2 linked regions of the Danio rerio genome follow. The protein of the gene in region 2 interacts with the protein of the main gene of each other region in a pairwise test. Links are inferred from orthologs where the notes say so. Each region holds a gene or a part of one and is shown on either strand. Other genes may lie near its edges.

What was found. The genes of interacting proteins can lie anywhere in the genome.
Region 1: the proteins of exoc5 (region 2) and edrf1 interact in binary tests that used the Homo sapiens proteins (3 or more experiments, as listed by UniProt). The two-hybrid records come from large-scale screens. The link is inferred for Danio rerio from reciprocal best matches to the Homo sapiens genes EXOC5 and EDRF1.

Annotation. Positions count from the first base shown.
Region 1 is NC_133192.1:9,908,296-9,911,957, forward strand, and holds part of edrf1 (erythroid differentiation-related factor 1), read left to right. Parts: intron 1-672; coding exon 673-798; intron 799-3,514; coding exon 3,515-3,639; intron 3,640-3,662. UniProt on the Homo sapiens protein: Transcription factor involved in erythroid differentiation. Involved in transcriptional activation of the globin gene.
Region 2 is NC_133192.1:49,407,199-49,410,860, reverse strand, and holds part of exoc5 (exocyst complex component 5), read left to right. Parts: intron 1-517; coding exon 518-600; intron 601-738; coding exon 739-948; intron 949-1,033; coding exon 1,034-1,181; intron 1,182-1,261; coding exon 1,262-1,370; intron 1,371-3,126; coding exon 3,127-3,247; intron 3,248-3,338; coding exon 3,339-3,425; intron 3,426-3,507; coding exon 3,508-3,616; intron 3,617-3,662. UniProt on the Homo sapiens protein: Component of the exocyst complex involved in the docking of exocytic vesicles with fusion sites on the plasma membrane.

The DNA of each region.
Region 1 (3,662 bases), about 39 Mb from region 2:
TACAGCATTCCGCTTGGTTATTAAATGCCTTTCTAATGTGGTCAAGTCAGAGGATAAATTTTAAAGGTATTTTCTGATCATATTTTTGTATAATGACAAATAATATAACTGGATGTTGTTAACCCATGTAAAGCAGTTGTGTGAGATTTTAGATAGGTCATATAATAAATACTTAATTAAATTATTTATTTACAATATAATTAGCTGTTTTTGGCTTTAGTAAGAAAAAAAAAATATTATATATATATATATATATATATATATATATATATATATATATATATATATATATATATATATATATATACACACACACACACACACACACACACACACACACACACACACACACACATATATATATATATATATATATATATATATATATATATATATATATATATATATATATATATATATTAATCAGCATATTTAATTTCTGAATATTAGAATGTGACACTGAAAACTGGAATAATGATGCTGAAAATTAAGCTTTGACATTACAGGAAAAAAAACAATGTTAAAATCTATTCAAAATGTCAACTTATTTTAAATTGCAGTAATATTTCATAACATAACAGTATTTTTGTGTGTGTGTGTATATATATATATATATATATATATATATATATATAGTTTACAATAATTTATTATTATTATTTTACTTATCAGAACATCAAGAAGCTTCTGAAGATCCCGTACAGTAAATCTCATGTCAGCATGGCTGTTCATAGAGTTGGCAGCACTTTACTGTTGGACGAACTGGACATTCAGGAGCTCTTCATGAGGTCATCACAGGTAACTGGAAAAAGGGACTTATTTCTATAGCTGGACTAAGGGCCATATTAACAGCTTGCACCAGCACAAACAGATTTTTTTCAGGATTTACTAAATACGCACAGTGAGGAATTAGTGCTGAAAAGGCATGATGAGCAGTTGTTTTTGTGTCTGACCTTATTGAATGTGCATTTGTTGCTACAGTTACCCTTTCAGAAGCAATTGTATTTGAAGGAGTCACAATAAAATTTACTAACGTTTGCAATCTTCCGTTTATCTGTATTGAGCCATTACCTAATTACAGTACTTTAGCTATGATGACTTAATTCCAACCAAAGAGTAAAATATAGAGTAGGGGGGTGGGGTTTTTGCTTTCTACCAATCACTCACAGCAAAGTAATGGAGGGGCGGGGCTAAGCACATTTCATCGAAGCCACCAAACTGACACCGTCAGAGATTGACTGTTGTTTCAGAGTGGAAGCAAATGGCCAGATTTGGATTAAAGATTACCAAAACAAACAGGCTGTTTCTCATTATGCGTTCTTAAGCGATCTTCTGTCCTTGTGTCATCAACCACCAAAGTTCAGCTCCAAAACTCTAGACCACAAGAACAGAGGACGCTTGACAAAGCCCTGATGCATTCTTGATATTGAGGATGCACTGATGCAGACTTGAGCGCAGTACAAAACTCTGAAAGCTCCAGAAGTAATTATATATAAATAAGGCTATATAACGGAGGTGGGAAGTGCAGCATTTTATAACCGTTTATTGTTAAAGTTCAATGATATAACTTATTTATCTTAGGAGTTTTCCTACATGAGAAGGTGAAAGTAAATATTAATAAGAAAATATTTATAAAGGCATAAACGCATTAAGAGTGTTTATTTGCTGAAATTTATATTAAAATTGGTTATAATTGTATTGTGCAAAGAGTTTTTGTAAGGCTTTTGTGCATATATATATATATATATATATATATATATATATATATATATATATATATATATTTGTGTGTGTATGTGTATATATATATATATATATATATATATATATATATATATATATATATATATATATTTTTTTTTTTTTTTTTTTTTTTCACAAAAGGGATCGTTGTATGTAATGTTTAAATAATTTTCTGTTTAAACGCGCGAAGATCATGTGACCATCAGCAAGCACGCAGCATCTCATTCCTAAAAGGACGAGTTCTCTGTTCATTTGTTCGTTCTCCCGAGGTAACTTGGCCAGAAAGGCCTTCCCGATAATGCGGGGTCAATTTACTAGAACTTCTATGTTAAGCTGCTTTGACACAATCTACATTTTAAAAGCACTAAAGAAATAAAGATGAATTGAGTCCTTTCTCTGCGTTCTTGGAATTGAGAAACAGACAGTTTTTTTTCTTTCCAGATTTGCACAGATTAATGTTCACCTTAAGACTAACATGCACTAGCAAAATAAATATTTTACATTTTGATTTCATGCAGACTTTAAGCTCTCTTAAATATAAAACTGAGTTTTTAAGCCATGTCAGGTTTCTTAAATTTGACATATATTACCAAATTCCCAGCGTCAGTTTATAATGCTTTCTTTTTTTTGTAACTGCACATTTTTCCAAAAAAAAAAAAAAAAAAAAAAGGTATGGACAATATGGTGGTTGCTATATAGAAGTATTTCTTTTCCTCAGATAATAAGCATAGGGTCTTCTTATGTTCCAAAGCTCTGATTTGCATTGTGCTTTTTCTATTACATTGGTTGATATGTAAATAAGATGTTACGTCGTTGTTCTTTAATTTGCATGTTGCCAGTAAATCATCTCCAGAAATTTCCACACTGATCTGCTCTATTTTAGACTTTTTAGGCTTTCATGCTAATTTGCATTGTTCACTAAATCTGGCCCTAGATTTCATTCAGGCCCCTGCATCTCCATTTTACCTTTAAAGGACAATCCACCAATTCCTAAAGCACACTGCTGAGTTTTACACTTTTGTTTCGGAACGTGTCTCGTTTGCCTAGTTAGCGCGGTTCGAGTGGCATATGTGAACAGGGCAATCGCGCTCTGTTCCGCGCCAAAGTAATCGCTCCAAGATCGCTTGAGTGAGGTGGTCTCGGCTCGATTGAAACGAACCCTGGAGCGGTTCGATTGCAGTGAGAAAGCGATCCGATCCGAGCGCGGTTATATCACAGTGTTTTATGCATATGTAATAGGCTTACGGCTATATGAAGAGAGAGTTATGAGTAGGGCGGGAAGTTTCGCGAGTCTCCGGATGCCCGCAAACGAGTGATGATCTCCCGGTAATCTTGCGTCTCCCTCCCTCAAATAGGCATCGTCGCGCACCCTTCTCACCCCTCCCCACCGCGTCTCTCCTCAGACATGTCGCGCGCACGCACCTTGTCAATCACCACCAAACCACCACCTCTCCTGACAGCTAGGCGTGACGCTGCAAAATAAACCGTGACACTCTGACCAATGTAAGGAGAGTTTACTCGCACGTGACTTGTTTTAGCTCTTTTGGTCCGTTTAGAAACTTTGCAGTGTGAAAGCGAACCGCTCCAAGAGCAAATAGCAACAATGTAACAATTGTAATCTCTGTTTCGGAACAACTGAATCGATTCACAGGTGTGAAAGCACCCTTATAGTAGTATAACATTTATATATGCCTTTTAAAGTGTTAATAGTGTGCATAGTACCATCCTAAATATTATTTAAAATGAATATATTATTGCGTCTGCTTTCTAGACTAATGACTGGACGTGGCTGAAGGAGTTTTACCAGCGTCTTATAGACCAAAAGTGGCAGAGAAAGAAGAAAAGTAAAGAGCACTGGAACGAGAAGGCCATCCTCTCCAAATTCCTCTATTACAGGTCAGTAATAGAGACTTCACACC
Region 2 (3,662 bases):
GAGTTCACTCGCTCTAAAGAAATGTCTGTGATTGACTAAAATGATCATTGATTCATGCTCTCTGTTGAGTGACACAGATGCAATCTTTAAAAGCAATGTCTTATCAGCTGGACCGTGCATATATGAATAATCCACTAATTGACGCAGCTTTCAGATGCTCTAGTTCAGTGGTCACCAAACTTGTTCCTGTAGGACCGGTGTCCTGCAGTTTTTCGCTCCAACCCTAATCAAACACACCTGAACAAGCTAATCAAGGTCCTACTAGGTATACTTGAAACACCCAGGCAGGTGAGTTGAGGCAAGTTGGAGCTAAACCCTACAGGGACACCGGCCCTCCAGGACTAAGATTGGTGACCCCTGCTCTAGTTAACGCTCACAGAGCAAAAACCAACTACTGCTGAGGGCTGGCTGCCTTTCTGACAGCTGAAATTCCATTATGAAGAAATAGATTACCCATGCTTGAACTGTTATTTATCTGTTATTTAAATAACCCTATTAACATATTTCATAACTTCAGGCTCATGTGAAAGAAAGACTAGATGAGACGCGCAACTCTGATGTGGAGCAATACCTCAAGAACCTCTATGACCTCTACACAAGGTATCAATGTATATTTCTTTTTAATTTCACAATTACTGCAATTGTTCAGTCTGCTATCATCAGCTTCCTCTGCCTAGAAAGCTTTAATGTGTCATTTATTTGCTTAACCCGTTTTGAACCGTTTTTTTTTTTTTTTAGGACGACAGCACTGGCTGCTAAACTCACAGACTATAACTTGGGCTCAGACAAGCACACATTTCTATCTAAGCTGATAAAGAATATCTTCTCCTGTTATCTGGAGAGCTATATAGACATGGAGCGGCAATATCTGCAGAACCGCAGCGGCATGATTCTTCAGCGCTATTATGATTCCAAGAACCACCAAAAACGACCTGTAGGCACTGGAAGGTGAGGAATTGTTGGTTTCTTTGGTTTCTTTTTTTCTTATATTTCTCTTACCTTTATTTTCCATCTTCTCTTCTCATGTCAACAGTATCCAGGAGCTAAAAGAGAGAATCAGACAACGCACGAACTTGCCTCTGGGACCCAGTATTGACACACATGGAGAGACTTTGCTCTCACAAGAAGTTGTGGTCAACCTTTTGCAAGAAACAAGGCATGCCTTTGAGAGATGCAACAAGGTATAGGAATTTTCATCACTGCTTATGATACCTGAATTTAGAAGTTGTGGGCCTTAAACATTGGACTGTCTTTGTTGCAGTTGTCAGACCCAGCAGATCTGCCAAAGAATGCCTTCTCCATTTTCCTGATTTTGGTGGAGTACCTGTGTGTGGACCATATAGACTACGCCCTTGAGATTGGGCTGTCAGGTACAGTATAATGTTTATTGCAGGGTTCACACAACCATGGATTTTCTGGATTATCATGGAATTTTAAAAGATCTATTGCAGGGATTTAAAATCAGGATTTTTTGTCTAAGTCATGAAATATGGGATTTTTGTGTCAAATTTTAGTTTACATTTATTAATAATTGTGGTTTTTTTTTTTTGTTATTTCAGACCTATTGTTATGGTTGATTATGGTTGTTAAAGCTATTTTTCAGCTCCATTTTATTAATTTTATGTTAATCAACATATATCCACTTAGATTAAATGCAGTGAGCAGACTGTACCTGTTTACTAAGCCAAACATTTCAGCATAATATACATTTTAACGAACATTTCAGGATAAGGATACAGGCGGGAATGCAGCAATCGCATTCAAGTGTGCGCTAAAAGCAGACCAAACAAGTGTACTGAGACCTGCTAGAAGAGGTGGTCTCGATACTCTTTAAAACAAACTCTGGAGTGGTTTGATTGTGATAAGATGTGGCTTGAAAGTGTAGTTTGTTTGAAGTGATGCATACAAACAATGACCAGGGAAACGGTCATAATCGCATGTACTTGAAATAGCAGTCAGTCCTGCTTCTTTTAAATTACAATGCAGTCATGTCTCCATACTTCCATACTAACAAGTATTGTGTTGTCTGACTTCCTTATTTTTTGTTTTCTTTCTGTAGAAAAAAAAATGTTTTTTTGCGCATATTACATCTGGTATTTTATTATTATTATTATTATTTATATATTTTTATTTTTTTGGGTCAAGACTTTTAGTGATTTTCATGGCATAACTCTGAAACTTAATTAAATACTGTATACAGTAGACAATACATTTGGCATCGTAATCCATTTGATCATTAATATCAACCTCAATTAAAATGTCTAAAATCCTAAAAACTAAAGTAATTCTATTCTCGCAAATATAATGAACAAAGCTAAAAACCAAGGGTTATTGTAAAAATGATGCTTTAATAAAAATTTCAATCAAAAATGTCAAATTATAACCATTGGAGTGAAATGGATACGCCAACCTAATTAACCTTTTATGCCACCAAGCTTGATTTTAAACTTGATGTATCCACAAGTTCAACCAAATAAGACTTGCACCAAATATGAATTCATTTCGTCGGGCAGTGTGCAATGCATTTTTAAAAAGAACTTTACTTCTTCTAAATGCAAACATATCCATGAGTGTCTTGCAAATGTATTCATTCATTCATTTTCTTTTCGGCTTAGTCTCTGTATTAATCTGGGGTCGCCACAGCAGAATGAACCACCAACTTATCCAGCATATGTTTTACACAGTGAATGCCTGTCCAGCTGCAACCCATTACTGGGAAACACTCACACACATAAACTATAGACAACCCAGCTTACCCAATTCATCTATACCACATGTCTTTGGACTTGTGGGGGAAACCGGAGCACCCGGAGGAGAACATGCAAACTCCACACAGAAATGCCAACTGACCCAGCTGAAGCTCGAACCAGCGACCTTCTTGCTGTGAGGCGACAGCACTACCTACTGTGCCACTACGTCACCCTCCAAATGTATCCACAACCTGTTTATTTTATACATATTTGCAAACTTCTTCAGCCTCATAATAATTTTCGCTAAAAGTACTTCAATAGTACTTCACCAGTTTACTTTACCTGACCTATTTTCTTTTTTCTTAACCAACAAATCAGAAGAACATATTTAAAGTGGACTTATTATTCTGTGTGATTTGTGTTCTGACTTGCACAGCCATCCCATCTGCAGATGCCAAAAATGCCAACCTCTACTTTCTGGATGTGGTTCAGCAGGCCAACACAATCTTTCACCTCTTCGATAAGCAGTTTAACGATCATCTTATGCCTCTTATTAGGTCAGTTTGTCCCTCTTTGTTTCACTAGCTTCTATCATTTTTTTCCCTGTGACTTTCTTTTTGACATTTGTCTGAACTTTGACTCCTATAGCTCCTCTCCTAAGTTGACGGAGTGCTTGCATAAGAAGAAAGAGGTGATCGAACAAATGGAAGTCAAGCTGGACACTGGGATTGATCGGTTGGTTCAGAGTAATCCTTGACTTCATTGGTGGCACTGAATGAAATTTTAGTGAATTTTACTCAAGTTTCTTTGCTTTCAGGACACTGAATTGCATGATTGGCCAAATGAAGTACATCCTGACCACTGAACAGAAGAAAACCGACTTCAAGCCAGAAGATGAGAACAATGTCATGATACAGTACACTACAGTAAGATCTTAAAATCTTGTTCTGTATAGTAATTTACTCTGAAGAA